Linked DNA regions of Elephas maximus indicus. The protein of the gene in region 1 purifies or fractionates together with the protein of each later gene. This does not show direct contact. Links are inferred from orthologs where the notes say so. Each region holds a gene or a part of one and is shown on either strand. Other genes may lie near its edges.

What was found.
Region 2: the proteins of FTSJ1 (region 1) and WDR6 purify together in Homo sapiens (affinity purification with mass spectrometry; 3 studies listed by BioGRID and IntAct, with this or other methods). This does not show direct contact. The link is inferred for Elephas maximus indicus from reciprocal best matches to the Homo sapiens genes FTSJ1 and WDR6.

What each region holds. Positions count from the first base shown.
Region 1 is NC_064846.1:123,176,743-123,193,167, reverse strand, and holds the start of FTSJ1 (putative tRNA (cytidine(32)/guanosine(34)-2'-O)-methyltransferase), read left to right. Parts: upstream 1-7,692; 5' UTR 7,693-7,783; intron 7,784-9,928; 5' UTR 9,929-9,968; coding exon 9,969-10,104; intron 10,105-10,364; coding exon 10,365-10,434; intron 10,435-10,530; coding exon 10,531-10,612; intron 10,613-10,932; coding exon 10,933-11,011; intron 11,012-12,497; coding exon 12,498-12,550; intron 12,551-12,636; coding exon 12,637-12,690; intron 12,691-12,776; coding exon 12,777-12,879; intron 12,880-12,981; coding exon 12,982-13,065; intron 13,066-13,880; coding exon 13,881-13,984; intron 13,985-14,075; coding exon 14,076-14,273; intron 14,274-14,489; coding exon 14,490-14,522; 3' UTR 14,523-14,531; intron 14,532-15,961; 3' UTR 15,962-16,425. UniProt on the Homo sapiens protein: Methylates the 2'-O-ribose of nucleotides at positions 32 and 34 of the tRNA anticodon loop of substrate tRNAs. Requisite for faithful cytoplasmic translation.
Region 2 is NC_064838.1:53,519,413-53,535,179, forward strand, and holds WDR6 (WD repeat-containing protein 6), read left to right. Parts: upstream 1-7,157; 5' UTR 7,158-7,255; coding exon 7,256-7,355; intron 7,356-7,570; coding exon 7,571-7,657; intron 7,658-7,772; exon of another isoform or gene 7,773-8,031; intron 8,032-8,666; exon of another isoform or gene 8,667-8,718; coding exon of another isoform or gene 8,719-8,761; intron 8,762-10,659; coding exon 10,660-13,132; intron 13,133-13,235; coding exon 13,236-13,319; intron 13,320-13,406; coding exon 13,407-13,523; intron 13,524-13,610; coding exon 13,611-13,729; intron 13,730-13,828; coding exon 13,829-14,292; 3' UTR 14,293-14,540; downstream 14,541-15,767. Other genes in the region: P4HTM (transmembrane prolyl 4-hydroxylase), read left to right, coding at 1,267-1,457, 2,299-2,395, 3,908-4,070, 4,665-4,850, 5,587-5,677, 5,867-5,990, 6,491-6,711; DALRD3 (DALR anticodon-binding domain-containing protein 3), read right to left, coding at 14,607-14,726, 14,821-14,889, 14,992-15,363, 15,453-15,535, 15,642-15,703. UniProt on the Homo sapiens protein: Together with methyltransferase FTSJ1, methylates the 2'-O-ribose of nucleotides at position 34 of the tRNA anticodon loop of substrate tRNAs. Required for the correct positioning of the substrate tRNA for methylation.

The DNA.
Region 1 (16,425 bases):
GCCAAGTATACTTTCTTTTCTCACGCACATGGAACATTCTCTAAAATAGACCACACATCAGGTCATAAAACAAGCCTTAGCAGAATCCAAAACACTGAAATATTTCTTCTCTGCCCATTAGGCCATAAAAGTAGAAATCAATAACAGGAAAAGCAGGGAAGATAAATCAAACACTTGGAAACTGAAAAATATGCTGCTCAAAAAAGACTGGACTATAGAAGACATTAAGGATGAAATTCAGAAATTCATAGAATCCAATGAGAATGAAAATAATTCCTATCAGAACCTTTGGGACACGACAAAAGCAGTGCTCAGAGGCCAATTTAAGTCAATAAATGCACCACAGAAAAAGAAGAAAGGGCAAAAATCAAAGAATTATCCCTACAACTTCAACAAATAGAAAGAGAGCAATAGAAGAAACCCTCAGGCACCAGAAGAAAACAAATAATAAAAATTAGAGCAGAACTAATTGAAATAGAAAACAGAAAAACAATTGAAAGAATTAACAAGAGCAAAAGCTGGTTCTTTGAAAAAACCAACAAAATTAATAAACCATTGGCCAAACTGACAAAAGAAAAACTGGAGAGGAAGCAAATAACCCAAATATGAAATGAGACGGGTGATATCACAACAGACCCAACTGAAATTAAAAGAATCATATCGGATTATTATGAAACATTGTACTCTAACAAATTCAAAAACGTAGAAGAAATGGATGAATTCCTGGAATCACACTACCTACCTATACTAACACAAACAGAGGTAGAACAACTAAATAGGCCCATAACAAAAGAAGAGATGGAAAAGGTAATCAAAAAACTCCCAACAAAAAAAAAAGCCCTGGCGCGGATGCCTTCACTGCAGAGTTCTACCAAACTTTCAGAGAAGAGTTAACACCACTACTACTAAAGGTATTTCAGAGCATAGAAAAGAACGGAATACTCCCAAACTCATTCTATGAAGCCAGCATATCCCTGACACCAAAACCAGGTAAAGACACCACAAAAAAAGAAAATTACAGACCTATATCCCTCATGAACATAAATGCAAAAATCCTCAACAAAATTCTAGCCAACAAAATTAAAGAACATATCAAAAAAATAATTTGCCATGACCAAGTGGGATTCATACCAGGCATGCAGGGATGGTTCAACATTAGAAAAACAATTAATGTTATCATTATATAAATAAAAAAAAAAAGACAAGAACTACATGATTTTATCAACTGATACAGAACAAGCATTGGACAAAGTTCAACACCCATTCGTGATAAAAACTCTCAGTAAAATAGGAATAGAAGGAAAATTCCTCAACATAATAAAGGGCATTTATACAAAGCCAATAGCCAACATCACCCTAAATGGAGAGAGCCTGACAGCATTCCGCTTGAGATCAGGAACCAGACAAGGATAGCCTTTACTACCACTCTTATTCAACATTGTGCTGGAGGTCCTAGCCAGACCAATTAGGCTAGATAAAGAAATAAAGGGCATCCAGATTGGCAAGGATGAAGTAAAAGTATCTCTATTTGCAGATGACATGATCTTATACACAGAAAACCCTAAGGAATCCTCCAGAAAACTACTGAAACTAATAGAAGAGTTCAGCAGAGCATCAGGATACAAGATAAACATACAAAAATCAGTTGGATTCCTCTACACCAACAAAAACAATATTGAAGAGGAAATTATCAAATCAATACCATTTACAGTAGCCCCCAAAGAAGATAAAATACTTAGGAATAAATCTTACCAGAGATGTAAAAGACTTATACAAAGAAAACTACAAAACACTTCTGCAAAAAACCAAAAGAGACCTACATAAGTGGAAAAACATACCTCGCTCATGGATAGGAAGACTTAACATTATAAAAATGTTTACTCTACCAAAAGCAATCTATACATTTAATGCAATTCTGATCCAAATTCCAACAACATTCTTTAATGAGATGGGGAAACAAATCACCAACTTCATATGGAAGGGAAAGAGGCCCCAGATAAATAAGGCATTACTGAAAAAGAAGAACAAAGTCGGAGGCCTCACTCTACCTGATTTTTGAACCTATTATACCACCACAGTAGTCAAAACAGCCTGGTACTGGTTCAACAACAGATACATAGACCAATGGAACAGAATTGAGAATCCAGACATAAATCCATCCACATATGAGCAGTTGATATTTGACAATGGCCTGAAGTCCATTAAATGGGGAAAACACAGTCTAAGAAATGGTGCTGGCATAACTGGATATCCATCTGCGAAAAAATGAAAGAAGACCCATACCTCACACCACGCACAAAAACGAACTCAAAATGGATCTAAGACCTAAATATAAAACCTAAAACGATAAAGAACATGGAAGAAAAAGTAGGGACAACGTTAGGAACCCTAATACATGGCATAAACAGTATACAAAACATTACTAACGATGCAGAAGAAAAACTAGATAACTGGGAGCTCCTAAAAATCAAACACCTATGCTCATCCAAAGACTTCACCAAAAGAGCAAAAAGATTACCTACCGACTCGGAAAAGGTTTTTAGCTGTGATATTTCCGATCAGTGTCCGATCTCTAAAATCTACATGATACTGCCAAAACTCAACTACAAAAAGTCAAATAACCCAATTAAAAAATGGGCAAAAGATATGAACAGACACTTCACTAAAGAGGACATTCAGGTAGCTAACAGGTACATGAGGAAATGCTCACGATCATTAGCCATTAGAGAAATGCAAATCAAAACTACAATGAGATTCCATCTCACTCCAACAAGGCTGGCATTAATCCGAAAAACACAAAATAATAAATGTTGGAGAGGTTGTGGAGAGACTGGAACACTTACACACTGCTGGTGGGAATGTAAAATGGTACAACCACTTCGGAAATCGATTTGGTGCTTCCTTAAAAAGGTAGAAATAGAACTATCATACGGTCCAGCAATCCCACCCCTTGGAATGTATCCTAGAGAAATAAGAGTGTTTATATGAACAGACATATGCACACCCATGTTCATTGCAGCACTGTTTACAATAACAAAAAGATGGAAGCAACCAAGGTGCCCATCAACAGATGAATGGATATATTATGGTATATTCACACAATGGAATAGTATGCATTGATAAAGAACAGTAATGAATCTGTGAAACATTTCACGACATGGAGGAATCTGGAAGGCATCATGCTGAGTGAAATTAGTCAGTTGCAAAAGGACAAATATTGTATGAGACCACTACTATAAGAACTTGAGAAATAGTTTAAACTGAGAAGAAAATATTCTTTCATGGTTACGGGAGGGGGGAGGGAGGGAGGGTGAGAGAAGGGTATTCACTAATTAGAGAGTAGATAAGAACTTCTTTAGGCAAAGGGAAAGACAACACACAGTACAGGCGAGGTCAGCACAACTGGACTAAACCAAAAGCAGTTTCCTGAATGAACTGAATTCTTCAAAGGCCAGCGTACCAGGGACATGGGTGAATGTTTCGAAGGCCAGCGTAGCAGGGGCGTGGGCTTGGGGACCTTGGTTTCAAGGGACATCTAAGTCAATTGGCATAATAAAATCTATTAAGAAAACATTCTGCATCCCACTTTGGATAGTGGCGTCTGGGGTCTTAAAAACTAGCAAGCAGCCATCTAAGATGCATCAACTGGTCTCAACCCACTTGGACCAAAGGAGAATGAAGAACACCAAGGACACAAGGCAATTACGAGCCCAAGAGACAGAAGGAGGCACGTAAATCAGAGACTACATTAGCCTGAGATCAGAAGGGCTAGATGGTGCCCGGCTACAACCCATGACTGCTCTGATAGGGAACACAACAGAGAACCCCGGAGGGAGCAGAAGAACAGTGGGATGCAGACCCAAAATTCTCGTAAAAAGACCAGACTTAATGGTCTGACTGAGACTAGAAGGACCCCGGTGGTCATGGACCCCAGACCTTCTGTTGGCCCAGGACAGGAACCACTACCAAGCCAACTCTTCAGACAGGGATTGGACTGGACAATGGGATGGAGAGGGACGCTGGTGAGGAGTGAGCTTCTTGGATCAGGTGGACACTTGAGACTATGTTGGCGTCTCCTGTCTGGAGGGGAGATGAGAGAGTAGAAAAAAAAAAAACTTTTTTTTTTCTAGCAAGGTGTATGTAAGTTTTTGTGTGAGAGACTGACTTGATTTGTAAATTTCCACTTAAAGCATAATAAAAATTTTTTAAAATAATAATTAATGGATTATTCTCAGTTGGTTAAAGCCAGTCTCTACTCAGGTGCATTTAGGATTTTCATCTAGCCTTTCATGCAGGCTTCCCACTGAGGAGCTCCGTGGAGTCTCTTCCGTCCCTCAAAGCAGGCTCTGGGCAGCAGGGCTTCTGGAGTCAGGGTCTAATCCTGTGCCCCTGGAGCCCCTTCTTTCCTTCACACTGTTAGATGTAAAGAGCTGGTCTGGCAGCCTCCCTCCAGGAGGCTGATGGGAGGAGACCTTTACACCTATTGGGGTGCCGGGTGGGAGCTACAAGCTGACACCCTACTTCAGGAAGAGCCTGGGGTGTTCAGAGCCTGGCTCCTGACCCTCAAGCCCCTGGCCTTGCTGCAGGAAGCAAGTTTTTTTTGCTAAAAATTAAACATCCTCTTTATGAGCAGCAAGAAAACAGGACTTGGGATGTGTCCCACAAGGTGAATGTGGGTCCCCCCTCTCCCATGCCTGCTGCTCTCTCCTTTCTGTGGGGCAGCAGCCTGGTGTCCTGAACCCTTCCTTTCTCACACTCGCTCACATCTACAGGGAACCATGTTCCCACTGTCTCCAGGACCTCAGCCCTCACACCCACAACAAGCCCTCTGAGCTCTGCAGAGAAAGCTCTCCCTTCCTCCCAGGCCCTCAGTGACTCCTCCAGGAGGGTGCTCTCTCAGGTAGGTGTCAGTGTCCGGTCTCAGCTCCTCTGTCTACACCTCTTTCCTAGAGTCTCACTGCCTCCTTCCAGGGCTCCGCACCACTGAGGAAAGAATGAAGGAATAATGAAACAAAATGGTGAATTTGACAAGCATTTGTTGAACACCAACTGGTTTTGGCTATGGGTGAACGTGACAGAACAGAAATCCCTGTCTTTCTGAAGCTCACATTCTAAGGAATGATGAAATCAATTGTTCTGTTCTTTGAATACTCGCCAAGCTGGTTCTCACTTGAGGGTCAGTTGCACTTGATGCTCCCTCTGCTTAGAGTGCTCTTTCATAAAATATTTGTACGGTGGGCTCCTCTTCAGTTAATCCAGGTCTCAACTCAGATGTCACCTCCTCAAAGAAAGCCTTCCTTGACCATGCTGTCTAAAATAACAATTCAACCCCTCTGTTACTCTTGATCCCCTTTCACCCTGCTTTATTATTCTTCACAGCTTTTTCACCAGCTGACATAACAGTATACATTTAATTACTGTTGTTGTTAGGTGCTGTTGAGTCAGTTCGGACTCATACTGACCCTATGTCCAACAGAATGAAACACTGCCCAGTCCTGCCCCATCCTCACAATCATTGTTATATTTAAGCCCATTGTTATAGCCACTGTGTCAATCCATCTCCTCGAGGGTCTTCCTTTTTCTCACTGACCCTCTACTTTACCAAGCATGATGTCCCTCTCTAGGGACTGTTTCCTCCTGATAACATGTCCAAAGTACATGAGACAAAGTCTTGCTATACTTGATTCCAAAAAAGCACTCTGGCTGTATTTCTTCCAAGACAGACTTGTTGGTTCTTCTGACCAAAAGCAAAACCAAACCCATTGCCATCAAGTGGATTCCAACTCATAGCAACCATATAGGACAGAGTAGAACTGCCCATATGGTTTCCAAGAACTGCCTGGTGGATTCGAACTGCAGACCTTTTGGTTAGCAGCTGTAGCTCTTAACCACTATGCCACCAGGGTTTCCATATATATTTATTTAATGGTATATTTATATTTAGTACAAGGAGTTTGTTGTATAAATAAATGCATATAGATACTAAAAAACAAAAAACCTGTTGCCATCGAGCTATTCTGACTCATAGCGACCCTGGAAGACAGTGTAGAACACCCCATGGGTTTCCAAGGAGTGACTGGTGGATTCGAACTGCCAGCCTTTTGGTTAGCAGCCAAGCTCTTAACCACTGTGCAACCAGGGCTCCATATAGATAGTAGCACATTTATATATATTAACATATATATTTATATGTATATATAAAAAATATATACCATTATGTATTTCTTTATATTCACATATAATGATATATTTATGTGTTTAATATATTTTATATATTAGTAAGTATTATATACCACTATATATTTCTATATGATCATATAAATTAAATGGCAAATGTTTATATATTTCATATAATATATATCCTTCCTTGTCTCAGTTTTCTCATCTGTAAAATGGGCATAATTACAGTAACCACCTCATATGGTGGTTGTAAAGATTAAATGACCTAATATAAGAAAAGCATTCAGTGGGTGTGCTGGAGCCAACTTCTAACGGTTTGAGGGAATTTTGCAAACTGGTTGTTCAACACAGCTATTATTAAAAATTAAATGATAAAAACTTACAATTAACTAAATTATATTTTTAAAAGGTGATAAATGCTCAAAACGCATCACTTTCTAATTATTTTATTACATCTCACTGTTATCTATGCTCTTGAGGTTATTTACCTCTATTCTGTCTATATGGTAAGAATATGATATATTGGTGCGCTACTGCATTTCGTCCCAACTCGGTGTTGAGTGATTACACGTTAGTAACCTTAAGTCAGCCGAGATGAGGGTATGTAAACCAATGAAATTGGCAAATGTTAGAAATCGGAACTTTTTTTTTCTCCTTCCCAGAACGCAGGTTGTTAGCCATTTACCAGGACACCACCGAAAGCACTTAGTGCCTAGTACATGGTAACTGCTATAATAAATGTTTCCATTATTATGTTTGTGCACTGGATCGCGATGTGTATCTTTTTTTGTGGGTCGGAGTTAAAAAATGTTTGAAGCACAGAATTACGAGCCGCCAGACAGACAGTGTGCTAAACTACACCTATTTAATCCTCCCAATAAATCTGTTAAGCCTGTACTATTTATTATCTTCATTTTACAAACGGGGAAAATGGAAGTTCTAAGATGGTAAAAGGAAGCGCTAGCATTTGCCGGAGGTAGGATTCGAACTTCAGGCTGGAAGCTTCAGAGCGCTCGCATACTTAGCATAAAAAAACCTCCTTATTCTCACGAGGAGCCCTGGGTTCGAACCCACCAGCCGACTGGAAGGCAACGGGTTATTCCTATCGATAATTCCGCCTCGCAACACATGTAAAATGAATGGGTACCATCGTGCTCGTCCCATCTTGGGAAACGTAGTCCGCAGGCTCAACTAACGCCACGGTCCAAGAGTAGTGAGGAAGGAAATCGATTTTAGCATTAGAACAAAAGAACAAACAATCAGTTCCTGTGCCTCGCGATGTTTCAGCTACCCAGTGAGCGAATTCAGCAGCTTTGGTCGTGCCCGTTGCATGCTGGGAACGGCAATTCGCATGACCAGCCACGTCAACACAAGATGACGGAACTCACGTTGCACGTTCAGGTCGAGTCCAGGCCGCGCTGGAGCCTCAGCGAACCCGATTGCCAACCGTACCTTGCTGCATTCGTCCTTAAGCCTGTGCGACGAGCATTCGGGTCAACTAAGGGCACAAACTGAAGCCCTACCATTTCTCTCCTTTTTGCGCTCTCGCCGAGGCTCGGGCTGCTCACGGACCAGACTCCTTCCTCCCACTCTGAAAGCTAAGGTAGGCTGCGGGGCAAGGAGGATGTGGATCCAGGCCTAGGTTCTGTCGAGGCGCGCCTGCGCTGTCCAGCCGGCGGGGGAAGGAAAGAGGTCCGTCCTGGGCGTTGGCGGCGGCCTAGCTCTGGCAGCCGGCACTAGGTGGGCTCCAGACCCAAGGTTTCCGTGCGTAAGGGGACTACTCTTCGGCATAGGCTCGGGGTCCAGATATCAGCGGAGCCGCCTGAGGGGGGCTTGGAGGTTCCGATGAGGGCATAATTTTTGAGGCACTGATGAGCAGGGAGGAAACCTTGGTGGTGCAGTGGTTAAGTGCTACGGCTGCTAACCAGAAGGTCGGCAGTTCGAATCCGCCCAGGCGCTCCTTGGAAACTCTATGGGGCAGTTCTACTCTGTCCTATAGGGTCGGCAGTTCTACTCTGTCCTATAGGGTCGCTATGAGTCGGAATCCACTCCACGGCAATGGGTTTGGTTTTTTGGTTTGGATGCGGAGGCACTAGGGGTGTGGTCAGAGAGTTGTTAATGGGCAGTTGGGTAATGGAGGTCCGATGGGGATGTTAATAGGAGTGTTTTTAATCAACAGGTTCATTAGGGCCGGTTTGGGTGTGTTCAGCGATTGATAAACGAAGGGGTGGTAGAGTGGGCAACTAGAAGGTAATGGAAGGTGGATATGGGGGTGTGATCAAGGGATTGATGAGGAGGTATGGTATTTAACAGGTTGATGGGGAGCTATGGGGCATACTAATCGAAAAGGTAATGGTGAGGCTACAGAGCGAATAATAGAGACCGATGGAGGTGATCGTCGAGGGGTTAATGGAGGGCTAATGTGATAATCAAGGGACTGATGGGAGCAGTGATCAAAGAAGAGATAATGAGGGACTGATGGGGTATTGTAGTCAAAGGGTTAGTAGGACTATCATGACTTGATCATCCAGGAATTAATGAGGAGAGAGTAATAAATAGTAAACTGTTGGGGCATGGTCATCCAGTGATTAGTGGAGGGCAGGGTGGGCAGTGAGGGGAGAATTGGGAACTGATGAGAATTTGGTGTCAAGGGAGTAACAGAGAGGCTACAGGAGACTAACGGGGGTATGAACTATGAGATTGATCGGGGGCTAATGAGTTAATGGGGGCTGATAAATCATAATAATTGAGAGCTTAATGGGAGTCTAATATGGCATGATCCTTTAGGCATTAAGCGGGGTTGATAAATACCAACAGGACCAGGCAGCATTTGGTGGTTCAAGCCCACCCAGAGGTGCCTTGGAAGAAAGACCAGGTAGTCTACTTCAGAAAAATCAGCTACTGAAAACCCTACAGATCACAGTTCTACTCTGACAGGCATGTGGTCGTTACAAGTTGGAATCAACTCGATGACACTGGTTTTGGTTTAATCATTTAAGGAATTAATGGAGAATGGGGTGGGCAGAGAGAGATGAAGACTAAGGGGCTGGGGAGTGCAATGAGGTAGTTTTAGGAGGGTAATGGGATGAAAAAAGCAGGGTATTAATGGTGGGCTAATGAGGGCATATGAATCCAGGGGCAATGGGAACAATTGGGAGTGTGGTCAGTGAGATGTTAATGGGGATGAGGTGGTCAAAGAAGGGCTGATTGTGCGAATCATGGGGTTTAATGTGTGGAGTGCAGATGACAGTGATGGGGGGTTGCCAGGGTCAGTAATGGGTCATCTCTGAGATAAGTATTGGGGGAGTGGGCATCTATGGGGTGAGTAATGGGGGTCTGTGGATTGTGATGGGGTCTGTGGAGTAAATGATGGGTCTGTGAGGTGAGTAATGAGGGATTTGTTGGGTGAGTGATGGGGGGTCTGTGAGGTGAGTGATGGGGAGCTCTGAGGTGAATGATGGAGGGTCTGTGGGGTGAGTGATAGGGGTCTCTGGGGTCAGTGATGGGAATTGTGTGAGATCAGGGATGGGTGATCTGTGAAATGAGTAATAGAGCCTGAAGGCCCAGTAATGGTGTTGTTTGGGTCACTGAGGTCATTGGCATCAGTGACTGGGCTTTAGTCTTCCCTGCTGCTGAATGGGCTGTCATGTGAGTCAGTTGAGCCTGATTTGGTTTATGTGGTTCTTCCAGCCCCCACAGAGGTAGGTAGTGGCCCCTCTACCCAGTTACTGATACAGGTTGGCATCAGCTTACTGTTGGCAGGTCCCTGGGCAAACAGAGTACGTGAGATGGGACGGACATCAAAGGACAAGCGGGATGTCTACTACCGCCTGGCCAAGGAGAATGGCTGGCGTGCCCGCAGTGCTTTCAAGCTACTACAGCTCGATGAGGAATTCCAACTCTTCCAAGGTCCCCACCTGGCGGGCGAGTTGCTGAGGGGGCCGGTTCAAGGGGGATAGACAAGTTGGCTAGGTCTGTAGGGCTCCCTGTGGTAGGTGGGCTCAATTGGAGGATCTCTGGGGCAGACAGGCCGGCAGGAAGATGGGCAGAATCCCGAGGAAGAGTTGGGTGCATGGACAATGGATAGATGTGTGCTTCCCCAGGGGAGAGGGGTGAACTGTGCAGGGTCCCTGAGTTGGAGAGTCAGGTGCAGCTGACTAATACACCTTCCTGTGTGTGCCCAGGCGTGATGCGGGCCGTTGACCTGTGCGCAGCCCCGGGCAGCTGGAGCCAGGTGCTGAGCCAGAAAATTGGGTGAGTGTGGGGTTCCTTGGTGGGGGACAGGGAGGGGGGCTGGGTGGGGGGTTCTGGGTATGAAGACTGGACTGACATGGGCCATGTTGTCCACAGGGGTGGACATGTGGTGGCCGTGGACCTGCAGGCTATGGCTCCGCTGCCAGGTGTGTTACAGATACAGGGGGACATCACCCAGGTGAGAGCATGGCCAGGATAGTCAGGGTGTATCCTAGGTGAAGGCCCCCCATCTGGAGGCTATAGAAAATAGGAAAGAGACAGAGAGAACTAGAAAGTGAAAGAAGGAGAGATACAGTAGCTGAGAGGGAGTAACAGTGGAGAAACAGGGCTAGCAGCTGTCGTCACAGAGAAACAGCAAAAAAAAAAAAAAAGATGAGACTAGGTCCCCAAAGACAGGCAAAGCCTGAGAATTTGCCTGGGGTGGGGTCCTGGGCAGGTGGGGTTCAAGGGCAGCAGCTGGGGGAGCCCTGGAGCCACTCATTCTCCCTCTTTCCATAGCTATCTACTGCCAAGGAGATAATTCAGCATTTTGAGGGCTGCCCTGCAGACCTAGTGGTGTGTGATGGGGCTCCTGATGGTAAGCAGCAGGGTGGGGGGGCCCTGTGTATGTCTTTCTCGGGATCTTCCACCACTGTTGATTTCTTTGATCTCTTAACTTCTCACTGCCTCTTCCCTATGCTGTCAGCCTTTCCCCATATCTGGCAACTTCCCACCTCTGCTGTCTGCTCTCTGCTTCAGTCTTCTCCCTCCCCCCCTCCACCTTTCTGTTTTGTGTTTGTTGTCCACCTGTGCCTCTTATCCCTGTGCAACTGTCCAATTCCATTTTACTCTTCATTCATTTTTCCATTTATTCAGTCAATCATCCATTCAGAACACATTTACTGAGCACCTACCGTGTGCAAGCACTGTTCTAGGTATTGGGAAAACATTAGTGAATAAAATGTCACTAATTCGTGACCTCATGGAGCTGGGCACAGATGGAAAAGAAGCAAAATAAATGATTGAACTATGTAGCATGTTAAAATGTGATAGGTACCATGGGGAAGTCAACAAAGTAGGGAGGGGAAGTGGGGAGTGCATACTGGCATTTTAAATAAAGTGGATGAGGAAGGCCTCACTGACTTTAGAGCATAGACCTAAAGATGAGAGAGTGAGCCATGGATGTGTCTAGAGGAAGAACCATACAGACAAAGGGAACAGCCAGTGCAAAAGCTCGAGCCGGGAGTGTGCTTGACGTATATGTAGGAGAATGAGAAGGAAGAGTATAGCTGAAGCAGAATGAGTGAGGGGGAGAAGGGGTCAGGGATAAGGTCAGAGAGGTGACAGGGGCCAGATCCTGTAGGTGAGGGCCACAGTGAGGAATTTGGCTTTTTCTCTGAGTGAGATGGGGGCTTGGAGAAAACCATGAGAGGATTCTAAGTAGAAGAGTGTCATGCCTGACTTGGGCTGTAACAGGGTTCCTCTAGCTACTGAGCAATGTAAGGGGTGCGGGTGGAAGCACGGGGACCAGTGAGGAGGAAGGAGTCTGCATTAGTCCAGGTGAGTCGTGATGGTGGAAGCAGTGGTAGAGATGAGAAGAGGGTGGATTCAATATATTTTTGAAAGCAGAGCTGACAGGATTTGCTCATGGTATGGCTTGGATGTGGGGATGGGGTCAAGGGTAACTCAGGTTTTTGGCCTGAACAACTGTAAGGATCAAATGAGATGAGGAAGATGGTAGGAGAAAGTTCAGGAAGGAAAGTCAGGAGTTTGGTTTTGGACGTGTTGAATCTGAGATGTCAAGTTTGATCTATGAGTCTGGAGTTCAGAGCTGCAGTTTGAGCTGAAGATGGAAGTGGTAATGGTACTTGCACATGAGGTTATTTTTGAAAATAAATGAGTTCCTTGAAGGGTTAGGAGCTCAGCGTATGCTTCCAATTGGTTAGATATTAATTTGCATCCAGAACCTTAGCAGTAAGAGAGCCTAGGAAATATTTTTAGCTTTCTAACCTCTGGGAACCTCTCTGGTACAAGAAGATACATAGAACTGAAAGGGCCCCCTAACACTGTTCCTCTTGCCACAGTAACTGGCCTCCATGATGTGGATGAGTACATGCAGGCCCAGCTCCTCCTAGCTGTGAGTAACCCTGGCTTGTCCCTGCCCCAGTTTGGCTCCTTTCTGGCTGTCTCCATCTCAGCCTTAGCCATCTGTCCTGCCCACAGGCTCTGAACATTGCTACACACGTTTTGAAACCAGGGGGCTGCTTTGTGGCCAAGGTGAGTCTAGGGAAGCTTGGTCAGGGGTAGAGAGGAGTCCTTGAGGGCCGCCCTCACCCTCCTATCTTTGACTCCCCACCCCACAGATATTCCGAGGCCGTGATGTGACGCTGATCTATAGCCAGCTGCGGGTCTTCTTCTCCAGTGTGGTGTGTGCCAAGCCCAGGAGCAGCCGTAACTCCAGCATTGGTCAGTGGGGTGGAGGGGCCAGGTAGGTGGGTGGCAGTCTTGGGGGTGCATCCTGTACGGGCAGAGATGGCAGTCACCCCTCACTCCAGATTCTATCCACAGAGGCCTTCGCTGTCTGTCGGGGTTATGACCCTCCTGAGGGCTTCATACCAGACCTGACCAAACCTCTGCTAGACCATTCTTACGGTGAGAGCCAGAGCCTTGGGCCCTATCCCTGGGAAAACTCTACTCCCTTATGGAAATTATGTCTCATGAGGACCCTCAGTCCCACTCCCAGTGGAGCCTCTGCCTCCTTGTGGAAATTCTATCCCAAAAGGATCCTCAGCCCTACCTTTTGGTGGTAACTCTACCCCATTGTGGGAATTTTGCCTCATTAGGGTCCTTAGCCCCACCCCTAGTGGAAATGCTGTTCTGGGAGGATCCTCAGCCCTACCTTCTGGTTAAAATTCTACCCCCTTATGGATATCTTGTCCCAGTCCCCTGGTGGTTGCTCTTTGACCTGATGGAAATTCTCTCCCAGAAAGATTCAGAGCCCTGCCCTGTGGAGACTGCCTGCTTAAGAAAATTCTATCCTAGGAAACCTCTCAGTCTCACCCCCAGGTGGAAACTCCACTTCTATGTGGAAATTTTGCCCCATGAGGGTTTTTAGCCTCCTCTCTGGGGAAAAAAGACAAAGAGCCTGTTCTTGTGGAGATTACATTTGTGAGACAAGGTACAAACAGCATATAATAGAATGTCAAGTGTAGATAAGTGCTGTGGAAAAAAAGTAGAGTGGGCGGCAGTGTTTTAGAAGGGGTGATTATGGTGGGCCTCCCTGAGGAGGTGATCTGAACCAAGTGAAGGGTTTCTGGTGGAGGAATGGTAAGAGTAGATAGGGAATATCTGGGGAGAGCTGGGCAGGGATCCTCTTGGAGGAGTTGGTAGCCATGCTGTGGCCTGGGTCATGACTGGTCCCAGGCATCCCAGCCCAGTCCTCAGTCTTCTGTCTCCCTGTTCCTCAGACCCAGATTTCAACCAGCTGGATGGCCCCACCCGCATCATTGTGCCGTTTGTGACCTGCGGGGACCTGAGCGCCTATGATTCCGACCGCAGTTACCCACTGGATGTGAGTGCCTGGCCAGCAGTAGGCAGGGAGTGGGGAGAGCAGCTGTCCTGAGTTTTCAGGTCCTCACCATTACCCCCATATGTTCCTGCAGCTAGAGGACGGCTCAGAGTACAAGTACACTCCGCCCATGCAGCCCCCCATCTCTCCACCGTACCAAGAGGCCTGCACACTGAAGAAGAAGGGGCGGCTGGCCAAGGAGATTCGTCCCCAGGAGACCCCTATCAGCATAGTGGATGTCTTGCCCCAACCCCTGGCTGCCCCACCACGCCACACCCTGCTGGCCTCTGAGGTCTGGAAACATGGCCAGGGCCCTCAGTACCCTTTCTGTGAACCCACAGTGACCCTCTCCCAGCGTGCCTCTTTCTGCCCCCAAATCATGTGGTTTTGGGGGCCAAAATTCTCTTCCCTGCCTCCCAACAGCTATAGAATGCAATGGGTAAAACCAGGCATAATAAACAGAAAAGCTCAGCCAAGTATCTGAGTCTCTCTTATTTTTCTTGGGTAGGTGGAAGACAGTGATATGAATTGTTCACCTTAACACGTTAAGGTAAGTTTGCCTTTTATCTAAGAGCATGAGTAAAGGGCACCTTTAAGAAAAAGCTCAGAATTTCCCCTTTGAAATTTTTAGGACAACTAATAAGATTTCAATCAACAAACCTTTATTAAGCACCTGCTGTATGCCAGGAACTGCCTTAAGCATTTTACAAATTACATATTCAGGCATTCAGTAAACACTTATTGAGCACATAGTGTGTGCCGGGCATTATTCTAGGTTTGAAGATATAGCAGGGAACAAAACAAATATCCCTGCCTTCATGGAACTTATAGTTTGGGAAAGAGGTAAAAAACAGTAAGACATTCGGAATGCAAGAGTTTCCACAGTATTTACTATAGCTATCTGCCTAGAGTTTGCATTTCACTATATATTTAAATTTTACTTGCATGATGATAAATAATATGTAAAGGTAATAAAGGATATGAAAAGTAGAAGTAAAGCAGAGTAAAGAGGTGGTGGTCTGCAGTAAGGGTGGTCATGGAAGGCCTCATTGAGGAGGTAATGTTTGAGCAAAGATCTGAAGGAGATGAGGGAGAGAATCCATGTGTTTAGAGGAAGAGCATCCAGGTAATGGAAACAGCAAATGCAAAGGCCCTGAGGTAGAGCTGTGCCTGGAGTATTTAAGGAACACCAAGGAAGCCGGCTGACCTGTAGCAGAGTGGGCTAAATCTATGAGTACTGGAGGAATTCTCATCCTCAGGATGTAATGGATCCCTTTCTGACAGTTACAGGTTATTCAGACTAAGTTTTTCATACAAAAAAGACACCTTTAAAAGACTGAAGTGGCGTATCACAGTGGGAAAAGATATTTATAATCCCTATGTATAGTATCCTTAATATAAAAAACCTACAGATAAGAAAAAATAATAAGAATGGCCAATAAGCACATGAAAAGATGCTCATCAGGGGAATGCGAGCTAAAACTAAAAATACTGACAATAATAAATGTTTGGAAGAATATGGAACAATTGGAACCATCATATATTGACGGTGGGAATGTAAAATTGTGTGGCCACTATGGAAAACTGTTAGGCGTTATCTACTAATGCTGCATATATACGATTCCACTCTTAAGAAGTGAGTACTAGAATATTTATAGCAGCACTGTATGTAGTACCCTCAAACTAGAAACAACCCAGGCATCCATCAACTGTAGAATGGGTAATTAAATTGTTCACAATGGAGAACTACACAGAGATGACGATGAACACTACAGTTATACAAAGTAACAGATGCATTGTTCACCTTAGAGTTACTCCTTAAACTGAACATATGTTTTATGCATTATGTTTTTATGTAGTAAAAGCAGGGGAAAAACTTATAAAAATATTAGTAGCTTAGTGAACAGTAATTCTAGTAGAAGTGGGAAAATGTTTTTGTTTAAAACTTTCTTTTTCTTTGACCTTCAATTTGCTGGCAAGCTGATTCAACTCAGAAGCTGTTCGCTGTCAGGAGAGCCAGAACTTGCATTGATGAACTTGTTTTCAGATATCATCATCTCATCAACAGGGCCTGAACATTCAAGCCCCAAGTGGGAATCTGCAACAACCACATAAACAACAAAGAAACATTGCAGAATGTCTATCTGCACTGCAATGGAAATTCTAGAGTTGAGGTCTTACCTCTTCTCTAGGTAAACCTTTCCAGGGGTGTCCTAATTATGTCCCGAATTTATCCCTAAAGCAGGGATTCTTAACCTGGATAGAAGTCAGGGGTATCCATGAACTTGATGGAGGAAAATATTACATCTTTATTTTTCATTAATATAACTGAAATTTAATTCCACTTTGAATCATGAATGCTGGCAATAAATCACAGTAGTAAAAGCAGTACCTGCAACTTTTTCACCAATACAAATCAGTCCTTTTTTATGTTACATTACAAT
Region 2 (15,767 bases), on another chromosome or scaffold:
CAGTGCAAAATAAGCTGCAGGCCCCTCTGCAGGAATTCTGAGGGGACACAGCTGCAGTTTTTGTCCTCTCTCAATCAGCCCCTGTGTGGACCTCTGTCCCCCATCTAAGGAAGTTCTCTTCCCTAGTAGGGAATGAAGCAGGGCCTGGGCTCTTCTCTTCCAGGGAAGGGCTTGGGGATGCCAAGACATGGGTGTTCCAGTTCCACCAAGCTGCCTACCAGTGCGAGGGCGTCCAGCCACTAGGGCCAAACCCCAGGTCCGACCTATATTCGGAAGCTTAGGAGCATGGAGCAGTTGCTCAGTGTACTACATTTGTGCCTGAAGGAATTGGGGAAGCAAAGGGCACCTCGAGCATCTTCTTAGAGACCAGCATTTGCCAAAAATCTGAGTGGCCCCCCACCAACCTCCCAGCCTGGAAAGTCAACAACCCAGCCCTGGTCAAATGACCAATGCCACTTGTGCAGAAGAATGGTGGGCAAGGCCCTTGGACTGGCCTAGAGCACTTGGATGTCTTCTGTTTTTGTTTTTATTTTAAGTGAAAGTTTACATATTAAGTCAGTCTCTCATACAAAACCTTATATACACCTTGCTATATACTCCTAGCTGCTCTCCCCCTAATGAGACAGCACACTCCTTCCCTCCACCCTGTGTTTCTGTGTCCATTCAGCCAGCTTTTGTCCCCCTTGGCCTTCACATCTCACCCCGAGACAGGAGCTGCCCAGATAGTCTCATGTGTCTGTCTACTTGATCCAAGAAGCCCACTCCTCACCAGTATCATTTTCTGTCTTGTAGTCCAGTCCAATTCTTGGATGTCTTTGTATGCCTTGCTTGTTTTTATTTGAACAATGCTGAAAAGCAAAAATGAAAGCAAGAGCCAGCTACCACCCCTCTGCTTTTTAAATATATATATATATATTTTTTTTTCTAGTTAAGAAATAGAGGTCTACCCTCTGGCCTTCTGCCCCACCCCAGGGTGGGGAGAACTTAACTCAGGTTCGGCTTAACTCTGGCTTCCTTCCAGGACTCCCCTGGAAAATATGTGTTCTCAGAGTGGAAGACCAAGGCCCACATTCTAAAAGTTGGCCAACCTTTGCAGGACAACCTGACCTTGGGGCCTGAGTCCAGAGCAGATGTAAAGTGATGTGTGCCAGTAGGGGACAGGGAATGCTCCAGGCCCCAGGAGCCCTGCAGGGAGGAAGGTCCCGGGAGCATCAATGCCTTGGCTCAGTCCTAGGCCTCACCACCCACCTTCTCCTCTTATGGCAGAAATCCCTGGCTTCCTGAGTGATGAGGAGTGTCGGCTCACCATCCACCTGGCGCAGATGAAGGGCTTACAGCGCAGCCAGATCCTGCCCACTGAGGAGTACGAGGAGGCAATGGGTACAATGCAGGTCAGCCAGCTAGACCTCTTCCGGCTACTGGACCAGAACCATGATGGTCGCCTGCAACTTCGTGAGGTTGGGATCCTGGGACTTGAATACACACAGGGTGGGAGTGCCCAGAATTTCCTTTCTGGTGACAAGTTCACTTGTCTACCTACCTCGACCCTAGCCTCAAGAGTCAGATGCCACCCCAGGTTAGCTTGGGCATGTCCAGGTCTAGGTCTCCCCTTGCTGCCCTATGAACACGAAGATGTCAGGGGAATCCACCTGGGGGTGATGGCTTTTACTGCCACAGTATTCAGGTGGTGTGCCTTCTCTGGTCTAGATCCCTTGCTGCCATAGCTGGGGGCCCCACAGACCTCATGGTAGATGGGATGGCAGTTCTGAAGTGGGCAACAATCCAGACATCCTACATGCCCCTCACACTTGGGCTTCTGAGAGAGGTTTGGCAGGGCATGAGGCTTATTCCCCGGACAGAGCACCCCCCTGAGCCTGGTCTTCCTGGGACCCCAGTGGCCATGCCCTGGTCAGGCCTCCCTCTGGTGCCTGTTCTCTCTTCACACCCAGAGCTTGGCTTCCCCCACCCCACCTGGAGTATCTGAGTGGGACAGAGGTCTGTTCCTCACTCTGCCTCCAACCAGCCACCAGTGCTCCCCATGGAGGCCACAGTACCAGCAGGGCTGGAAGTGCCTGTGGCTTTCAGGCCTTTTGACTACCCTCTGGCCTCCTCCCCAGATGCCTCTGACCCTCTCTGCCCACCCTCACTTCTTTCCAGGGACCCTCAGGCTCTAACCTGTGTCTTTGTCAATGCCCTCTCACCTGAACCATTAGCCCTACAGCAAGAACTGGGCCATCTGTGCTCTGGTGACTTACCATTATTGGGGCCAACTCACTGATGGAACCTCTTGTGCTGCAGGTCCTGTCCCATACTCGCCTGGGAAATGGACGATGGATGACTCCAGAGAGCATTCAGGAGATGTACTCTGCAATCAAGGCTGACCCTGATGGCGACGGTGAGCTCATACCTCACCACAGTTCTGTCCCTGTGAGCTTCCTGCCTACTCCCAGGTGCACCATCTTGAAAGCTTAGGTGCTGTCCCAATAGCCAGATGCCCTCTCTGCCCAGCTTCTGAAGTGGCTAGAGATGTGGAGGTGAGGGCCCAGCCTTGTCCCTTATCCCTGGGAAGAGGTCAGGCAGCCAGCCCCTCCCATTCTTCTTGGTGACACCTGAGAGCAATTCTTGGAGATCCTTTTGACCTTCCTCAGGCAGAGTTTGGGATGCAGGATGTGGGGCTGTCAGTTGGCAGAGTGAGTGGAGCAGAAGCAAGGGAACAGGGAGTGCAGGCTTGAGCTTGGCTGCTTGCCTTGCTCCATCCGCCTCTCTCCACCCAGGTCTGGGGTCTGCCCCTGCAGGCAGCCTCCCTGATCTAACTGAGGTCTCCCTTTTTCCTCCTTCGACCTGGAGCCATGCTGAAACACAGAAGTGGTGGTGTTGCTAACTACTGGGGGTGGGGGTGGGGGTGGGGGTGGGCAGGGAAGCTGTCATGTGAATGGCCTCTCCCAAATTGGGAACTACCCAGGAAGTTTCTGAGGTATGGTCATCACCCTCATGCTTAAGTTCTGTATACTGACTGAGGAAGATAGACAGGTGAAACAGGACTGGGAGAAATGGCCTTATGGCTGGTGAAGCGAGATTGAAGAATCTGACTTGGACCTGTGGCTGGAGGGGTGTCCTACTGCTACTGCCCCCATGTACAGAGCTGGTGACAGGCTCACAGCCCTGGAGTGTCCCCTACCCTCAGAAAAACCCGGGCCAAGGATTTTGGGTCAGACAGGATAACATGGAGCAAAGGCACCAGCTACTCTTTTAGAGCCTCAAGGGGGCGGAGCCCCTGCCTTATGGGTTGGGCAAGAACAAGGAGAGGGGGCTCTCATTTGGGGGCGCAGCCTGGCTTTCTTTGCCAAAGTGGGCCAGTGACCCAGCAGACAGGCCTGGCTAGATGTGTTTTGTCAGGGATGGGACCTGAGGTATTGAGGCATCCCCTGAGGACCAGCCCCAGGCTGCACCGCCCTGTGTGAAAGGCCCTGAAGGAGGCCCAGTGCTGGCTACTCTCTCTCCTTACCCTCCACAAGACTGAAGGGTGGCCGCCACACTCTTCAGAGCCAGGCTACAGGCTGGGGTGGTCCTTAGCCTAGGGCCCTGGCCACGCGGCTCAAGTTTCCTTTGGAGACCCTGCTCTGGCCACTCTAATGGTGGGGAGGGGACAGCTTCTTCCCTTTCAGGGCCAAATCAGAGGGGTTAACTGAGGAAACGATGAACTCCTTTGGGTCTTCCCTTAGGGTCTGATGTGACTGAAACCAGGTTCATCTGACCCAAGAGTCCAGGTGGGGTACAGGTACATATGGCCTCGCAGTGCCTGAGGCCAGGGGCTGCTGCTGCCTTTGGGGAAGACAGGGAGGTGCAGTTGCTGCTGTGGCTTCCCCTTGTGGGCTTGGTGGGCACTGATGGCAGCTTCTTTGTGCAGGAGTGCTGAGTCTGCAAGAGTTCTCCAACATGGACCTTCGGGACTTCCACAAGTATATGAGGAGCCACAAGGCAGAGACCAGTGAGCTGGTGCGGAACAGCCACCACACGTGGCTCTACCAGGGTGAGGGTGCCCACCATGTCATGCGTGCCATCCGCCAGAGGTGAGCATTTGAGGCTGTCCTCCCCCCACCTCTGGCCTGGTACAGGGGAGAAGACATGCTGGGGCCCCTCAGAAGCCCTTAACTAGGGCTGAGGACAGAATTGATTAGCCACCTCAGGATTGAGTTCCACTTTTTAGACCAGGATGGGGACCTGTTGGAAGACGGGCAATTAACAAAGACAAATGAGCCCTCATTGTAGGCAAACGCTATACAATTGGGATGAGAAATGGATGGAGTATTTGTTTTCAGCTAATTAGAAGAAATGACCCTTTTCTCTGCTCACGGGACCTCACACCGTGAGCAGCCAGATGCTTTAGATGAACAACCTCCTTTCTGAGGGGATGGGATGGGGTCAGCAAGTCCAGGTCTGAGCCCCCAAACTTAATGGAATTTCATCTTTTCCACCCAATGGGTGTCTAACATTGAGGGAGAAGGGCTTATCATGAGTGATCCCTTCGTGCCCCTACAGGGCCAGTGTGGGGTGGTTCAAGGGGCTTCCAGGGAAGGTGGGCAGGGGCAGAGATTGGAGCAGGCCCGGGGTCCATCTTGGCTGGCTCCTTCAGGGTGCCCAGCCGACTGCCTGCTGCCCACCAGGGTGCTACGTCTCACCCGCCTGTCGCCTGAGATCGTGGAGCTCAGTGAGCCACTGCAGGTTGTGCGGTATGGAGAGGGAGGCCACTACCACGCCCACGTGGACAGTGGGCCCGTGTACCCGGAGACCATCTGCTCTCACACCAAGTTGGTAGCCAACGAGTCCGGACCCTTCGAGACCTCCTGCCGGCAAGTACCTCCGTCCTGGGGGCTGTTTCCTACCGGGGGACTGCCTCTGGGTCCCAGACCAGGCACCTCTGTGACACAGGCACAGTTCTGTCCTGTGGGCATGCCCCTCTGCACGGCGCCAGAAGGGCACTCAGGCCATTCTGGTCGATACAGCTCTTGGCTCTCCCTCCAAGTTGTTTAACAAGTGGCAGTATAGGGGTGGCTGCTGGCCACCTTGCCCACTCTAGTCAACAGTGACTGAGGTACCCACAGACACTGAAACTTGCCCCCAGAGGTCTGAGGCTAGGGGCAAGGCTGGGTCCCCAGTTCTTTCTACCTTCCCAGGTGTTGATCCTGCCTCCAATGCTGGAGGCCTCAGCTTCTCTTTCCCGTGTCCCCCTTCCTTGCCAAGGTACATGAGGCCAGTCAGTGTTTCCTTTCCATGTGGCTGCTGTGGCTCAGCCCCTTGCAGCCCTGACCAGCCCTTCTGCATGACCGAGCTGGTTCTACTAGCCTACCTTGCCTAGATGGGGCCTTGGTCAGGGCCACATAATTTAGCTAAGTGCATCTATGATCTTGGCCACAAAATACATGGTGACACACAGAATAATAGGGCTTGTGGGGAGGGACTGGGGCACCTTGGCACTGTCCTGTCCCTCTGGCCCCCGGGAACCCGGCCAGCCTGTCCTGCCCATAGGTGAGCCCCTGGGAGTGTCATACAACCAGAGACCTGCTCAGCAGTCCCCCTGCCTTACAGCTATATGACGGTGCTGTTTTATTTGAACAACGTCACCGGCGGGGGTGAGACCGTCTTCCCAGTAGCAGACAACAGGACCTATGATGAAATGGTAAGGGCTGGCTGGGCTGTTGCCTGTGGGCTGCCTGGCCTTGGGCTCACCTAGCACACACCCTGCCAGGCCTGGGAGGAAGGCCCAAGCACACCCTGGCACTTTTGGCTGGTTTGCCTCTGGACACCTTTGGCTGCCTGGCCATGCAGTGGAGGCAGCTTGCAAACTCCAGCACCTTGCTGCCCACAGAGTCTGATTCAGGATGATGTTGACCTCCGTGACACTCGGAGGCACTGTGACAAGGGAAATCTGCGTGTTAAGCCCCGGCAGGGCACAGCAGTCTTTTGGTACAACTACCTGCCTGATGGGCAAGGTGAGTGCTTGTGGTCAGGCTGGGGTGCCCAGGGAAAGCTTCTCCTTACCCAGCCCCCTGTAGGGCTGTTTCTGGCCACCCCCAAATAGCATTCTGTCCTTGGTGCGCCTTCAAAGATCATCCTAACTGACCTCAGCAGCTGCCCCGGCACCAGTGTAGACTCTTGGGTCATCTTGACCTGTCATCCTTCCCTGACGCCCCAACCTACCTGCTCTCTGGGGCTGTGTGGACCCATGCCCCTTCCCAACCCAGCCTGAGAAGTGCTGTGTCCAGGCTTGGCAGTAAGAAAGCTGGTCTTGGAGGGCCAGTGGTGTTCACAAAGCACTAGATGGTTGAGATGCTAAGATCCCAAGGAGGCCTTGGGGCTCCATGTTTGCTACCTGAGGTGTGCACAGCTGGGCCCCCTCTGAGCCCTTGGACCAGAAGAGGCCGAACTTAGAGCAGCCCAGCCTAGGGTCTCTCCCAGCCTTTCCCTTGCTCACAACACCCTCCACTGACAGGCTGGGTTGGCGATGTGGACGACTACTCGCTGCACGGAGGCTGCCTGGTCACGCGCGGCACCAAGTGGATCGCCAACAACTGGATCAACGTGGACCCTAGCCGGGCGCGACAGGCGCTCTTCCAGCAGGAGATGGCGCGCCTGGCCCGTGAAGGTGGCACCGACTCGCAGCCCGAGTGGGCTCTGGACCGGGCCTACCGCGACGCCCACGTGGAGCTCTGAGGGGAGGGCCGGCACCGCCCCCTCCCCCTCCAGGCGGCCATTGCCTGAGATCGGGCCCTGCTGCCCCCCTGCCCTGCTGCAGACCAAAGGCATGGCCCATGTCTTGCCCCACGCCCGCCTCCAGCTGCGACTGGAGCGCAGTTCCTATATTCATCTTATTTATTGTGTACAGACCGATGCCGCCCTGATAACGCCAAATAAAATCACACGGCCTCGAGCCGCTGGCCTAAGAAGCTCCGGGCGGGCGGGAGGCAGACGCGGTCAGGCGGAGCTCGCCAGCAGCCCCGAGTGCTCCGCGAGCGTCACGTGAGGGGCGGGGCGGGGGCTGCCCCCTCCGCGGGCCCCGCCAATCGTGGGCGGGATCGCGTGGGGCGGAGGGTCGTCATTGGACATCAGCTGCGCCGGGGCGTCCCTAGGCGCTGCTACCTGTAGCCAAAAGCGCAGTCGATCGGCGGCGCACCGCGCGGGGAAGGGTCGCTCTCGCGAGAGCGTAGCTTCTTTTCTTGGTGGTGGTGGCGGCTGCCGCAGTTCGAGGAGGACCGACATGGACGCTCGAGAGGACTACGTGTGGCCGCGGGCCACCTCGGAGCTCATACTCCTTCCGGTCACGGGTCTGGAGTGCGTGGGGGACCGGCTTTTGGCGGGTGAGGTTTGGTTTGAAGCGCGCGCTAGCGAGCTAAGAAACTGAGCGCCAGCCTGGGACGGGGCCGCGAGGAACAAAGGGATGCCCCGAGGAGGAGGGTGGGCTGCGGGCGAGGTCCGATCGGAGGCGGGAAGGGACCCCAGGAGACGACGGGAACGAGGATGGGCCTGGGAGACAAATACTGATGAGGCTACTGCAGCCCTTCGTAAACTGCAGCCGACCAGGACAAGGCAGGCGCGGCCGCGGGAAAGTGCGGGATAACGGGGCCGTTTCGGGGGAGGGGTCCGTGGCTTCTTCGAGGAGGTGAGTGGGGTTTGGCCCCTCCTGAGGAGGCGGAGCGGGGGTTGGGGTGGTGAGCCCCCCAGGGGGCGTGGCCGGGTATGGCTGGGGGCGGGGTTGTGGCTTTTCCAGGGAAGATGGGAATGAAATTACTCTGAGGTCGCGGGAAACTGGGGATGAGACCTTTCCAAGTAGGACAGTGTCCCGGAAAGCGGGCTATGAGGCCCCTCCTGATATGGTTGGGGTCCGGGCAATCCAGTGTCGATTCCCCTCCGAGGAGGGCCAGGTGGGGAAGCACAGGCTCCGGTGACTGGCCCAGGGGCCTGGGACCGGAGGCGGCAGAGACCTGCGGAACGATGAGGTCTGACATGAAGCTACTGACTGACAATGGCGATGAGGTGCTTCTTTGTTTTAAAAGGGCCTTGAGTGAGCTGCTGCCAGTCTTAGGCAGGCAAGGGAGTGTGTGGGGGGCAGTAGCGGATGCCCAGTTTTGATCTTGGTTGGGGGCTCTGGGAGCCTCTCGAGCTAAACTACGAAGGCTCCAGGATTTGGGGACAGTTAAGTAGAAACCCAAAGAACCACAGAATGAACTAGGAGAAGGGGAGGGGTGAGTTCCTGGCAGAGGTTAAGCATGCCAAAGGCAGTGAGGCCAGAAGAGTTGGTTACTTTTCAGGAAGGAAGAAATTCCTCTGAGGCTAGAGCAGGGGTGAGGCCTGGGAGGAGAGGAGGCTGGAGAAGTGAGCTGGGGTCAGATTTGCTTAGGGCTTGATCTGACTTTATTCTTAAGGGCGGTGAGGTGGCCCAGCGGAAGGGTTTTAAGCAAGAAAATGAGTTGGTGGAAAATGCATGTTAGAAGGCTCCCCATCAAGTGAATTCACCCATTCCTGTGACTTCCAAAGTGGCTTTTATATAGCTACAATTTTTAATTCCATGTGTGCTTCAATATAATATGAATCCTCAGCCCTGTTCTCTCCAGAGTCCCCTGCCCAGGTGCACAGGTGCTTACAAACTGAAATATCCCATCTACCCTCAGTGGTCCATCTGCCTGATGGCTCAGCTCAGCAGGGAAAGCACCAGTCACTCAGATGCCCAAGCCTGAGAATCTGCTTGACTCCCCAGGCCTGTTAGGTACCAAGTCTAGTTGATTTTGACATCATTTAAATGGCACCTGTCTGTTTCTCTGCCTTTACTGACATTACCTGAGGCCATGCCACTATGTCTCCTTTAGGTCCTCAGTAATATTTTCTCTGACCTTCTTAAATCTTTCATTTTCTGACCCACTACCTCAAGCTCTTGCCTACTTTAGGGCTTCACACCTGCTATTCCTTGCCAAGAAAGTTTCTTTCCTGTCTGTTCTTCCTCTGGCTGATCTCTGCTCATCTTTGAATCCTCAGCCTACATGTTGCTCATCGAGGTGACCTCCCCTGCACTCACCCAGTCTGGTTAAATTAGACCAGGGCTGCTTTCTCAACCTCTGCACTGCTGACATTTTAGACCAGGTAATTCTTTTTGTAAGGGGCTGTCTTGTTCATGGCAGTATCCCTTGCCCTACCCAGTAGATGCCAGCAGCACCCCCCCCCCACAAGTCGTGACAACCAAAACTGTCTCCAAACATTGCCAGATGTCTCCTGGGGGGCAAAGTCACCCCCTGTGAGAACACTGTTTTAGACCTTCCCATTTTATATTTTTACGGCAACTTGTAGGGTTTCTTCCTGGAATTTGCCAGAATTGTAATGGTGTAGTTGAGCAGTTTTACTGTTTAGTGTCTGCCTAATCCAAAAGGGCAGTGTCTGTGCTTGTTCACTGACAGCATCTAGTTCAGCGTTGGGCTTATTATCAACGCTGAGTAAATGTTTGTTGACTGTTAAAAGATGGAGATTGCCGGTCAGCAGTGGTGTGAGGGGCTGTTGCTGGTCTCTCAGGTAAAAGCACCAACCTTGCTATGGTGGCGAGGGTTTGTGAACTCTTTAGAAAGGGAAATCCACAGGACTTGGAGACAGATAAGAAGTGAGAGGTTGAGAGAGGAGCAAGCAGGGGGCTTCCAGGTTTCTGACTGGAGGATGGGCAGAGGGTTTGATGGGCACTGGGATGAGGAGCACTGAGAGAATTTGGGGTGGATGTCAGTGGAGTGGCAGGTGCCTGCAGGAAAACCAGGAGGCAGCTGGGTGCTCGGTTTTAGAGCTATTTGGGTTGAGGATGAGGCTGTCCAGAAAGTCTGTGCATGAGTAAAGCCTGTGGGAACACTAGTACTTGGAGCAGATGCATCCGGGAAAGGCTAAGGAGCAAAGCAAGGAGCGCGCATGTCAGGAAGCAATAAATGACGTTTCTGTAGTCTATATTTGTTGTGTTTCTGCCATGTGCCAGACTCGGTCTCAGCCCTGGATGTCTCTTACCTCCTCCCTTCCTCCTGATATCCCTTTCTGTTGTTGCTGCTCTGGGGCTCTCAGAGCCAAGGCTGCCATACCCCAGAAGGGGGGCTCACACAGTGGGCCAATGGCAGGGCCAGGACTCAAGCCCAAGCCTCTGCCAAGACCAAAGTGTGGGCTGTCTCTCCTTGGTCTTCCCATTGATATTGAACATACGCACCCCTTCTCAGATATAGGGAGAGGCTTCTGAAAATCAGGAGGGGTGTGGCCATTGACCTGAGGGTGGAAAGGTTGCCTTAGCAGGACAACCTTCCTCCCAGTGGAGGAGAGAGGAGGAAGGAGGATGAATGGAGAGGTAGATGGGGCCACCTGGGGACTAAAGCTGAGGGGGTTGCAGTCTGAAGCATGAGAGGAGGTAGATAAAGAGGAGGCTAAGAGTTTAAGGAATTCACAGTTGAATTGAACTGGAGCCTCTGACAAAGGGAGCAGAAAGCCAGCACTGAAAATCTGGCTGAAACTGAGACCAAGGATTTCTCGAGGTTCACGCCTGTGGGATCACGTGTCCTAACACATTAACAGGTTACATGTTGATAGGTCCCTTCCCCACAGGTCACCAGCATTAGGTGGGAGGTTCTGATGCGGCTCTTTGCCTCTGTCTAGGTGAGGGTCCGGACGTCCTGGTATACAGCTTGGACTTTGGTGGGCATCTGCGGATGATGAAGCGAGTACAGAACCTGCTTGGCCACTATCTTATCCATGGGTTCCGGGTGCGGTCAGAGCCCGGTGGAGACTTGGAGTCACAGGCCACAGTGGCTGTGTTTGGGAGCAAGGGGCTCCGAGTTGTGAAAGTTAGCTGGGGGCAGGGCCGCTTCCGGGAGGTCTGGCGCTCTGGCCTGTGGAGCATGTCCGACTGGATCTGGGATACATGCTGGTTGGAGGAGAATGTGGCCGTAGCTCTGGGCCACAACTCAGTGGTGCTCTACGACCCCATGGTAGGACGTACCCTGCAGGAGGTGCCCTGCACAGATAGGTGTACCCTCTCCTCAGCCTGCCTGATTGGAAACACTTGGAAGGAGCTGACCATGGTGGCGGGTGCCATTTCCAACGAGCTCCTGGTCTGGTACCCAGCAACCACGTCAGAAATCGAGCCTGTGGCACCTGACCGGCGGGTCAGTGGGCATGTGGGTGTCATCTTCAGCATGTCGTACCTGGAAAGCAAGGGCTTGCTGGCCACAGCTTCAGAAGACCGAAGTGTCCGCATCTGGAAGGTGGGCGACCTCCGGGTGCCTGGGGGTCGAGTGCAAAATATTGGGCACTGTTTTGGGCACAGTGCCCGTGTGTGGCAGGTCAAGCTCCTGGAGAATTACCTTATCAGCGCAGGAGAAGACTGCGTTTGCCTGGTTTGGAGCCACGAAGGTGAGATCCTCCAGGCCTTTCGGGGCCATCAGGGCCGTGGGATCCGGGCCTTAGCTGCCCACGAGCAGCAGGCCTGGGTCATCACCGGGGGTGATGACTCAGGTATCCGGCTGTGGCACCTGGTAGGCCGTGGGTACCCAGGCTCGGGGGTTTCAGCTCTCTGTTTTAAGTCCCGTAGCAGGGCAGGCACCCTCAAGGCCGTAACACTGGCTGGCTCTTGGCGAGTATTGGCAGTGACTGACAAAGGGTCTCTGTACCTCTATGATCTCGAGGTCAAGTGCTGGGAGCAGCTCCTGGAGGACAAGCGCTTCCAGTCCTATTGCCTCCTGGAAGCAGCTCCTGGACCTGAGGGCTTCGGGCTGTGTGCTATGGCCAACGGGGAGGGTCGTGTCAAGGTTGTCCCCATCAACACTCCAACTGCTGCCGTGGACCTGACCCTGTTCCAGGGGAAGGTGCACAGCCTGAGTTGGGCCCTGCGTGGCTATGAGGAGCTCCTGTTGCTGGCATCGGGCCCTAGTGGAGTGGTCACTTGTCTGGAGATCTCAGCTGCACCCTCTGGCAAGGCCATCTTTGTCAAGGAACGTTGTCGCTACCTGCTTCCCCCAAGCAAGCAGAGGTGGCACACGTGCAGTGCCTTCCTGCCCCCAGGAGACTTCCTGGTATTCGGGGATCGCCGGGGCTCCGTGCTGCTGTTCCCTTCCAGACCAGGTCTGCTCAAGGCCACTGGGGTTGGAGGCAAGGCTGGGGCTGGGGGACTTGGCGTGAGTGGTTGCAGTGGTGGGGGAAGGAGCACCTCGGCTGAGTTGGGCCCTGTGTCCACACTCCCTTCCCTGCATGGGAAACAGGGCGTGACCTCTGTCACCTGTCATGGTGGTTACGTGTATACCACAGGGCGCGACGGCGCCTACTACCAGCTCTTTGTGCGAGGCGGCCAGCTCCAGCCAGTCCTACGGCAGAAGTCCTGTCGAGGCATGAACTGGCTGGCTGGGCTCCGCATGGTGGCCGATGGGAGCATGGTTATCCTGGGTTTCCATGCCAATGAGTTTGTGGTATGGAGCCCCCGGTCACACGAGAAGCTGCACATCATCAGCTGTGGTGGAGGACACCGCTCCTGGGCCTTCTCGGATACCGAGGCTGCTGTGGCCTTTGCCTACCTCAAGGATGGGGACGTCATGCTGTATCGGGCCCTGGGTGGCTGTACCAGGCCACATGTAATTCTCCGGGAGGGTCTGCATGGCCGAGAGATCACCTGTGTAAAACGTGTGGGCACCATCACCCTGGGGCCTGAATTTGAGGTGCCCAACCTTGTGCAACCTGACCACCTGGAGCCTGGCAGCAAGGGGCCTGGCCTGATCGACATCATGATCACAGGCAGTGAAGACACTACCGTCTGTGTGCTGGCACTCCCCACGGCCACGGGTGCGGCCCACGCGCTCACAGCAGTTGGCAACCATATCTCGTCGGTGCGTGCGGTGGCCGTGTGGGGCCCCGGCACCCCAGGTGGCCCTCAGGATTCTCGGCCAGGCCTGACTGCCTATGTGGTGTCTGCCGGGGGCCGGGCTGAGATGCAGTGTTTCAGCATCATGGTCACACCAGACCCTGGCACCCCAAGCCGCCTTGCGTGCCACATCATGCACCTCTCATCGCATCGGCTAGATGAGTACTGGGATCGGCAGCGCAATCGGCACCAGATGGTCAAGGTGGACCCAGAGACCAGGTGGCGTGGAGCGTAGGGTGGGGTCATGCAGGGCAAGCCCCATGCCATGCAGCTGCCCCTAGGCTCAAAGGCCCTACCTGATGGCTGTGTGTTGTTGCTGCAGGTACATGTCCCTGGCTGTGTGTGAGCCTGACCGGCCTGGCCCTGGCCCCCTCGTGGCTGCAGCCTGTAGTGATGGGGCAGTGAGGTGAGAGCATAGGGCCCAGGGGCTGGGGGAAGAGGGACGAGGTTGTCCAGATTGAGTTCTAAGCTGGGCTGCCCCCTGCCTCCCCAGGCTCTTTGTCTTACAGGACTCAGGGCGGCGGCTTCAGCTGCTTGCCGAAACCTTCCACCACAAGCGGTGTGTACTCAAGGTTCACTCCTTCACACATGAGACACCCAGCCGGCGGCGGTGAGCGGGGCTGGGTGAGGGTCCTGGGAGCGGGGCTCTTGTCCTCCATCCCCCTCATTAACCTGGCTGCCCTTTCTTGGCTCCTAGGAGGCTGCTTCTGTGCAGTGCAGCCACCGATGGCAGCCTGGCCTTCTGGGACCTCACCACCGTGCTAGACCATGGTTCCACTGCCCTAGAGCCACCAGCAGAGCCTGGGCTTCCCTCCCGTGAGTAGCTGGTGTGCACTGCACTGCCCTTCTCCACCCTACCCCTTTACCTTCACCCATGTAGCAGGCTGAGTCGTGAAAAGCATTTTCTTCCCCCAGAGCTGGGGACCCCCTGCCTCACTCTCCAGGCCCACAGCTGCGGTATCAACAGCCTGCACACCTTGCCCACGTGTGAGGGCCACCATCTTGTGGCCAGTGGCAGTGAAGATGGCTCTCTCCATGTCTTTGTGCTTGCCGTGGAGGTGCCAGAGCTGGAAGAGGCTGCTGGGGAGGCTGAGCTGAGACCTCAGCTGCGTGTGCTAGAGGAATACTCTGTTCCTTGTGCACATGCTGCGCATGTGACAGGTCTCAAGATTCTGAGCCCAAACCTCATGGTCTCAGCCTCCATCGACCAGCGGTTGACCTTCTGGCGTTTGGGGCACGGTGAGCCCACCTTCATGAACAGTGCTGTGTACCATGTACCAGATGTGGCTGACATGGACTGTTGGCCTGTGAGCCCTGAGTTTGGTCACCGCTGTGCTCTTGGGGGCCAGGGACTTGAGGTTTACAACTGGTATGACTGAGATGTCTCGTGGTGGCAGGCATGCTGGGCGTGGAGCCTGCTCGCAGACAGAGTGGAACAGTGAGTGAGCATGCCCGTGCCCAGCGTGCCTTGAGAGGAGGCAGAGGCAGCTTCGAGCTCCTGACTTCAGAACAGGAGCTGGGGTGAGGAAAGTGCTACCTGCCAGACCGAGGACGCACCCACCCCCACACTCCACAGTAGGACACAGCTTTACAACAGAACAATTTTATTTTGCATCCAGGCCCCTAACAAAATCTGTGGGGCTGTTTTTTTTTCCCCCAGTCGATGACTTTGTGACATTAGGGCCTTGTTGCTTCAGATGTGGTTCAGTGGAGGGAGGCCCAGCATGGCCAGGCCAGCGTGCAGCACTGCACGCACGGCCCGCAGAAGCTGCAGGCGAGCAAACATCTGACCAAAGAGGTGCGGTCGGGGCTCCTGGAGGAGAAGAGGCCTGCTGCTCTCATCCTCTGCTGCCCCTGCCTTCACCCCTCCTGTGCCTCCCATGCACCCCCTTTTGCTGTGTGCTTACCCCTAGGATGTGTATGCGGTTGTAGTACGAGCTGAAATCCATGCTGAGCTGCACCAGGAATTTGCACACCTGGTGACAGAAACAAGTCACTGGCCTGTCCCTCAGCACTCTTGTGCCCCAGCCCAGAATAAAGAATAGAGCGTATAGTGTCTCTCCTGGTTTCCACCTCACCATCTCCGTGCGTGCAGTGATGTGGAGCCCCGGGGCTGTGTAAGCCAGAGCTGCTGTCTGGCTCAGCAGGTCAGGGAACGGGAGGATACTGTTGAAGAGCAGCAGCCACTCACCCTGTGGGAGAGAAGGGTGCTGGGAGGGAAAGGCCAAGCCTCCTGCTTGTGCCGACTCTCCAGGTGGGGCACTCACCTCATCATGGAGCAGTGAGAAGTCCAGGCTACTCACAGGTGGAAATGTGGGGTACAGACCTTGTTCCATGCTGTGCTTGTAACTCTCAAAGAGTGTGGCAAGGCGGGCACAATTATACATGACAAAGGTGCCACTCTTGGTGCCCTTTGTGGAAACACTGTTGTCGGCCAGGGTCAGGAGGAGCTGGAGGACAGAGGCACGGCTGCAGAGAAGGAGGGTAGCCGCCATACCCTGTCCCCCCAGCTCTGGCCCCATGGGGCACCCAGGCTCACCTGACTCTGTGGGGCTGTGCTGAGCATCTCAAATTTGATGGTAGCCACAGAGAGAATCCCGAAGATCTCTGTCCAGGCTGGGTCTGAGGGAGCAGAGCTCAGTCAGTCACTCTGCAGGTAGGGAACAAGGGACGGGGTACAAATGACTTGTTCCTATCCCAGAGCACAGCCAGAGTCTCCCAGGCGCACCTTGTGCCAAATCCCCGCCATGCTTGACTGCTGAAGCCTTGCATACCTGGGCAAGCCGGAGCCTGTATTTTGAAAAGAGAGACAGTGGGTAGGGTCCCAGTGAAGACCCACCCGCCTTCCCGCACC